Linked DNA regions of Bombyx mori. The protein of the gene in region 2 interacts with the protein of the main gene of each other region in a pairwise test. Links are inferred from orthologs where the notes say so. Each region holds a gene or a part of one and is shown on either strand. Other genes may lie near its edges.

Region 1 (4,276 bases), on a different chromosome or scaffold from region 2:
GTCCTTTCACCGGTAAAACCAGTTTCTTGTCTATCAACAATTAACATTAATAGAATAAATTCCTTGTAGAAATTGTAAGCTGGAAGTAAACTATTATACATACCGCTTGGCAGGATCTAACTGCAGCAGTTTGTCCAATAAGTCACAGCCGTAGGGATCCTTCACATATGGTTTCAGTCTTTCCTGTGTTTATATACAAATCTTAATTAGTATATAAGAGATGCTGGAATGAATATATACAGTATGCAGTGAAGAGAGAGCGGCATAGATGGGAAAATAAGTACACATATTGTTAAATGCCCACTGGACCAAACATCAAAATGTTCTCGACGCCCATCATGAGATATGAGATCTGAGTCTCAATAGTATTATTGCAGTGTGTGTTATGCAGTGTGCAGTGCAATAATAAACCGGCTGTTATTATGTATGTTCGTTTCTTTGCTCCTATATTCCGATATAACAATTATATAATGGCTGACAATGCTTTTGGTGGCTACGGTGATACAGAAATAAAATAACTAGTTGACAGTAGGCAAAAATACTTATTGTTTTTGTAAGAAAATATGTAATGAACTATGAAATGTTGACTTATGAGGCAGTGTGTTGAGCCTTGACCTTAAATATCATCTTGGAATGTGTGTTATCGGCCAAAGATAAAAAAAAAACTTTTTTTTTTTTCAAAAATGATTATGTCTTATTTCCACACTGCAATTGAGTACATAGGTACCCTGATTCTGACCAAACAGTCTTACTAAGCCAATAGATATAAAAATCTCAATGATTAAATTCCATATTCACCTTGACTTTCCTCTTTTGACCCTTTGGCAACTCCATTTTGTTGTAAAGATCCAAGTTCTCCACTCCGGGCCAGACATCAGGTGTACAGGAACCGCACAGCTGCGATATTAATATCAGCTGCTGCTGTTCTGTCGGACCCTGAAATATTACATTTCTAATCAAAGATCCATGGTAGACAAGAATTTTTTTTTTAACTGCTGATCTGTGGTGTATCGTCTGTCTTTCTGGAGCCTCAGCCTCTTAGTCTGTCATTTCTAAAACTATTCTATACATATTCTAAAAATAATAACATAAATATCTACAGAATATACAATTACAATAAAATTTATCAATTTGAAAAGAAATAATTCGTAGATTTTGTGACTCATTGTAAACCTTTATCTATGAACATCATTGAACCAATAAGTCTATCCAATAATACTCCATTAAATTTGGGGTTTATGGCATATAATTTGTGATCATTATAAAATTGCAAGTTTATTATTGAATAAACTCAATAGAGGGTTTGGTATTTTATGCTTTCCCATTACAAGAGCAGTGATTTTTGACTAGATAACACAAAAACTTATTACTGCATTTTTAAGCAAGGGCCCTGCATCTATTTCCTTTGACTAGATTTGCAAAAAAAACTAGATTAAACTGTAAAAGTAGTTTTAATCAGGTCGGTATCTTTGAAAAGTTTCAAACCTGCATGATCGGGGAGCGAGTCCACATTTCAGCCATGATACATCCGGCTCCCCACATGTCCACTGGTGGACCGTAGTTACGGTCACCTTTAATTAAATAAGGCATGTTAAAGCTGATACAACACACCACAGCTCATTTTTCATATATTTTTCTAAATGAGCAGACAAAGACAACTCACTATTACATGTTATTAAATGTTAGTTATAAGTTATTCAAAATCACTCCCACTATGAAAGATAACATAACACTTGTCTCCTTTAAACTAAAATGTATGACTGCTTCGATGCTTTAGATAAAAAAAAAAATGTTCTTGTAGGCAGATGAGCAGAAGGCTCATCTGATGGTGAGTGGTTGTAGCTTATGAACGTCAGCAATACTAGGAGCAAAGCCAAGCCGTTGCCTACCGTGAAGTACTCTCCACAAGCCTCGTTTGAAGAAAGACATGACGACAGACAGGCTCTCGGGAAACATCATGGAGGGGAGCTTACTTCAAGGCCTTACTACTTAGCAACAGGAGTTAGTAGAATAATGGTGCCCACTCATCCAAGCTCAATTTGTCTTATTACCAGAAATTATGGTTTACATAAAAAAACACTGTTCATTAATAAATAATATGTTTTAAAAACTCACCTAACAGCAATTCTGGAGGCCTATACCACAAAGTAACAACACGATTAGTATATTTATTGGCTTGTCCAGACTTTGCGACGCTGAATGCTCGAGCAAGTCCAAAGTCAGCCAGTTTTAATGTTCCATTCTTTGTTATTAGTACATTGGCAGCCTTCATGTCTCTGTGGAGTATTTTGTTGCTGTGTATGTAATAAAGTCCGTTCAGTAATTGTTGCATGACTTTTTTTATTTCGCCGAGACTGAACTTAACATTCACGTTCGATAGCAGGCCAGCTAGATCGTGTTCGCAGAAGTCGAACACCAAATAGAAAGTGGAACGGTATTTATTGTGAACCGTAGCCTTCGTGCGGCATATTTCTATCAAGTTTACAACGTTTTCGTGTTTTAAGAGCTGCAAGATCTTTATTTCCCGCAGGGCCGTGATCGGGAAACCCTCTTTTTCATTGTCCATTAAGACTTTTTTCATGGCAACAAACTTTTTGCTACTGTTTCTCGCGCGCGCTTTGAACACTTCACCGAATGTTCCTTGTCCGATTTTAGCTACTTTTTCGTATTTGGAAGACTCGTCGCAGAAGGGAAAGTCGAATTCCTCTATGTATTTCTCCTTTTCCCTCATGTTTAATATAGTTGAAGTTGTGCTTAAAACTGGTTGCGTGGGCTCCCGCGGAGCACTTACGCTTTGCATTTTGGACGTAATTTTGGCGGTTTTCAACGAACTTTTAGTATGAATATGATATTTTTAATTGTAGTGTAGACAAAGCTTTTAAAAAATTTCACATTAATTATGTTTTCACTTGGAAACGGCGAAATTTATTGATACCCTATCAGCAAAATCACAATAGGAAGAAGTGAAATGCAACACTGACTGAAGACTGTGACACTAATTAAAACGTCAACTGTCAATATCAATTTTTATTTTTTATTTATTGAATACGCAAAGAAAAGAGCCCAAATCAAAATGTTTTGTACCAAAGGCCAATGCCCGCCATATCTGTTGCTTAAAAAGTGAAGTAGAGTTAATTGAGGATTGGAATTAAATGAAATTAGATGTTGTTGATGGGCAGGTCCCCCTGCGCTGGTCAGACCAAATCCGTACCGCAAATACACTATCGTATTTGAGGTCATCTATAGCGTCGAGAATATATCGACGTATGGCGTAAGATAATCCACCGGAGAGATTCTGAAATCCCATAGAGGTCACGACCCACAGCATTGAAGATTTGGTCAATTGTCGGATGGCTAGAAATGAAACACACATTAAAACTTCGTAATTTAGTGGAAAAAGAAAATTTTGTAAGAACTTGAAAAGTCATACCCAGTGACTATTTCAAATATTTATGAGGTTTCGCATAGCGTTAAACGGTAAAATAGGCAGCGGTTATTACATATATTTTGGACTAAAACACTACCTATTGATCTACTCAATTTAACTTGGCTGAAGTTGTAACGAAAAAGTTAATTTAACAATAAAGTAAACATCCATGGTTTTAAATAACTTTATTAAGATGGTATGTACTGCTTTTCTTTGAATGTTATTCAGGTTACCACAATTTCTGTTAAAACAAATTAATTAATTTACAGTGTTTCTAAAATAAATGAAAATACAAAAAATCGACTAAAACGAAAGTATTGCTTGTAAGACATCTAAAATTGGTAAACTGTGAGTTTATAGGTTTTGATGTCAATGACCCTTAAACGTTGACATGAAAACGAATAAAGAGAAACGTCAATGTGTCATCGGAATTGATTTTTGTTTTTGTTACAAAAAGTTACACATTCACAACAATAGTAAAAGACGCTTCGAGGTAAATAACGCAATATTATACTAAAATTTGAATAAACTAAACATTAATTGAGTTTAATTGAGTTTAATACCTAGGCGCTTCGTGACAGAATTACTAAAGTAGGCCGACAAAAAGTGATTTCTTAAAAAAGTTTTATAAATTCTTTCTATCACTGCGTGTGCCGCTGATAAAACTATATGGACTAATACGAACACTAGTTATACGCCCATTTAAATTTACTGTAAATATATTTGAATAACTTTGGCGTATTATATTATTAATTAGAGATTAGTTATTAGATTAGTATTAGAGAAAATATTAGATTAGACTTTGATAATATTTATTATGTATATGTATTTATTGAAGTACGAGTATTT
Region 2 (4,136 bases):
CATAACAACTTTTTAATGACAATGAGTCATTGGAATTCTGTGTATTTGTGGAGTTAAATTAGGTATTTTACTGTTTTAAATGAATCATTCATTTCATATGCAACAGTGCTACACACTATATTAAATCGATGCCTCCAATTAACGCTACGCTAACTCCAAATTCATAGATTTACAGGAGGAGCGTTTAAACGAAAAAAGTTAATAAAATCTTTATTATTGCAGATAAAAAAGATAGCTATAATTGGAACGATTGCACTTGTTATATTATTATTGCATTTGTTTACTAATACTAATATTTTACTAATATTTACTAACAATCACGCCACGTTAACTGGTCCCGTGCTAAGTTCGTAAAGAACTTGTGTTACAATTACCAGATAACGGAAATAAATATAATATTTTTATTATACACATACATATATTTAATATACACCCATAACCCTGGAAAGACATTTATATTTATCATACAAATATCTTCCCTTGGCGGGATTCGAACCCGCGACCCCCTTGTGTAGTGACCATGTCACTTACCACTACACCAGACGGCCGTTAAATATATTTATGGTTTTTTAGATAGATAGGCAGATATATTTATGGTTTTTTTTTGGTGTAACTAGCTGGTTTACTCTTGCTTTGAACACCATCAATAATCATTAATTGTAATACTTTTAGCATAGTGAAGCGATTAGGGTGAAAAACGAAAATTTCAAAATTTTGAGTTAGAGTAGTTACGTGTTCATTGAAGGGATCGAAATCCAATTTCAAGTTAAATAAGATTTTAAATGTTAAAAATAATTACTTAACAATTAGAAATTTCCTAAATACATTAATCCTTTATGAAACAAACAAATGGCACTATACTACTAATAATTGGCATTTGATACTCATGTCTTAAGATACTTGGCATTTACTTTATTGATGTCTAAAAACAAAAAACCCGTGTTAACTGGTTACTGGAAAACCACAGATCTTATAATGTAAATGCGACTACAAACTTAGATATGAGGTGGTTTCACTGCATTGTATGATAGCTGGCCTATTCTTCAAACCAGAGTGCATAGCTGTTCACAGCCAAAATAAACTTATATAAGAAAATAGAATTGTTTGGAGTTTTATTACCAGACATTATTTTTTTACTGTAGAGATCATCGTCAAATATGTAGAGTATTTATTTCTAGAAAAAACGGTACCTCCCAGCAGGATTTTAAGCAGTTCTTGAATTAAGCCAACATTATGCATCAAGATTTTATTACCTAATAATATATACCAAGCGATCATGTTTTAACTGAGATGTAAGCATAATATGGGCACAGTTGTAATCTTTCATAGAAACCTATATTTATCAGTATCAGATAAGTCTGAATTCAGTCTATTTAAAAGCGAAAGGTTCCCACTAAGCAAAATATTACAAAACTGCATTTCACATTTATGTAAAACAGTTGTTTATGTAGTGCATTGAATAAATCATCTCAAATTCATGTTATTTTATTTAGATTATATTTTGTTCTAGATCCTTCCATCCTTTATTCTAGAAACATTATTGATGAATTGATACTCGTTTGTAGTAATGACCTCTTTCTATACATTTACTTTTTTCTTTGCATCTGTTCTCATTGGCTCGCTTGATATCAACAACCTAATGCATATCAGCATAGTGTGTTCACACTTTGTTTATTTACGTTTTCATTAACCTACGTGTTCGTGGAAATGACAAAACAACACGTACGTCACGCGTGCTTCAAAAGTAATACATATTTTATCTCGTTTAACTACACGAGTACCAGGAAAACATGATAAGCTCGGAAGTGAATCGTTGAGAAGTTCCAAGAAACACGAAAGGTTATTTATCCCGGTACGCGGGTAAATTTAGAGCGGGCAGACAGGTCGATCACACAGGTCCTACGTCAACCGCGCAGGCGTCCCGACAGCTGTCGAACACTGACCTCGAAAAAAACCACGCTTCATACGTGACCCTAACCTAAATACAAACACTTATGGGCATTTTCACGTTAATACGCAATCATAGGCGTATCCTTCAGTTTAGATATTATGGTTTTACTCACGGGAAATCCCAGACCAGCAAGGGAAAGTGTGTGAATGACGCCGTTATGTACACGACATTTCGTCACTTTTTCTAACTCTTGTACATGATCACTGCACATTCTGACGCTTCACAAATGTTGATTACCGATATTAGAGGACATTTTAATTAATGAAAACACTCAACAAAGCACTAAAATACACATTTTAAACACATGACTCGACAAAAACATTGGGTCGTAATCGAACACTTTTTCGAAAAGGATACACTTGAAGCCTCTGTCCCATATCCTGTATTAGATTCGCGGCCTGCTGCCGATAAGCTAACTCTTTATCTGCATCTAAACCGCATTTTCTGCTTGGTGAATTCTGTAGCTGTTCTTTTGTAAAATACCATTTTTCTTGCCCACCAGCCATTGAACGGATGTTCGGACTGCGCGCGAGAAAGCACGACGGATAGAAGTGCCCCGTCTAAGTGCGTGAGTGGGAAAGGGACAGCGCTAGCACAGCGGCAACCGGATAAAGACCACGTTAACATTTGAGTGATTGATAAATTAAAATCCTAACATTTTATCAGAAAACACTGTTTTCATTCACCATTAATGAACTAAAAAAATATTAAAATTAATGGAATAACAAAACAACAAGAAAACTACTTAAAAAAAATACATCACAACACGATATTCTGATTAGGAATTTCAAGCTGACGCCATTGTAAAACTTGGTAGTTAACGCAGTGAGGTCTCCGGTGACAGATTGATGATCTGCAAAAAACACAGGTACGTTTCACTTTATCACTATGTTTCTTTTAATAGAATAAGAATAGCTCTTTCTTTTGTACATATTTTTAAAACGCATTGCTAACTTTTCAATGAAAAAAATCAACTTCAAATTTACGGACCTAAAACTCTGTCGCACTGTGCAAATGGCCGACCCACAACTGTTTACAATTCACCTCACTATTAAATTCGAGTTAAAATGCCTGATGACTTAAACTATTATCGGTCATTTCATAATTAGTGAAATTATTTTATAACACGATTAGTTTTAGTCATTACTTTTTTCAAATTGTTGCAAACTAGTTTATTTTTATTAAGAATCACATCTGACCTAACTTTAGTGAACGAAGTTTCGCGCTACGTGGATAACTACGAACAAACAATCGTAATTAAAATATTCTAATTTAAGATGATTACGCAACTTTTACAGAGGTTTCATATGATTTTTAAAGAAAACATTAGAAAGTACGTATTACAGGCTGCTATTATAGCAAAAAAATGTTTCCATTCGGAAGAGAGTATGCAAACACCTTGAACGCTCATAATATCAAGATTTCTGAACGTAAGTAAAAAATAAAAAATCAAATGCGCTAATTTAAACAAACAAACCAATTCATTACTTAGTTCATTAAACATGTAGATTTATAAAAAAATATAAACATCATTTCATTAGAACACGAGAATTTTTTGTATAAAATAGTATATCGTAGTCAAGTCAGTAGTTGTATAGGCTGTCGGAGTTAATTTTTTTAATATCATTTCTTAGACTTACACTGCGATTACGTCATTAATAAAATTGTGACAATAAAATATTAAGCACCAATTTCACGGGATCCAAATTTTCATGTTTCGCAGGTACCCTCCTAAAAATCTAGATTATAAAAAAAAAACATTTTTGTACGAATTATCATCTAAATCTGTCCACTGCTATTTACGTGATTACGAATTTTTCCTTTGTAAATCAACATTATTGTAGGTTAAAAATATACTGGGCTCCTTCCGGTACCCGTTTCATTAACAATTAGGACGACTTGTTTATCAACAAAAAAAAATATGCAAACTTATGTAATAATTGTAACAAGACGTAACAAAAACAGTATTAATTTGGCGATACGTACATGCGGGATAGTACAAAAATTTAACAAACTCAGGGCCGTATTAAGTACGTATTTCATAGCATTAAGTATTGCATAATTTAATTTGCGTGATTAATGGTGGTAGGACCTCTTGTGAGTCCGCACGGGTAGGTACCACCACCTTGCCTATTTCTGCCGTGAAGCAGTAATGCGTTTCGGTTTGAAGGGTGGGGCAGCCGTT

The links.
Region 1: the proteins of cyclin-T (region 2) and Cdk9 interact in a two-hybrid assay, tested with the Drosophila melanogaster proteins (2 studies listed by BioGRID). The link is inferred for Bombyx mori from reciprocal best matches to the Drosophila melanogaster genes CycT and Cdk9.

Annotation. Positions count from the first base shown.
Region 1 is NC_085130.1:9,750,901-9,755,176, reverse strand, and holds the start of Cdk9 (cyclin dependent kinase 9), read right to left. Parts: upstream 2,801-4,276; coding exon 2,116-2,800; intron 1,572-2,115; coding exon 1,486-1,571; intron 937-1,485; coding exon 799-936; intron 184-798; coding exon 104-183; intron 1-103.
Region 2 is NC_085108.1:5,583,888-5,588,023, forward strand, and holds the start of cyclin-T, read right to left. Parts: upstream 2,801-4,136; 5' UTR 2,458-2,800; coding exon 2,309-2,457; intron 1-2,308. Other genes in the region: KAT8 regulatory NSL complex subunit 2, read left to right, coding at 3,318-3,381. UniProt on the Drosophila melanogaster protein: Regulatory subunit of the cyclin-dependent kinase pair (CDK9/cyclin T) complex, also called positive transcription elongation factor B (P-TEFb), which is proposed to facilitate the transition from abortive to production elongation by phosphorylating the CTD (carboxy-terminal domain) of the large subunit of RNA polymerase II (RNAP II).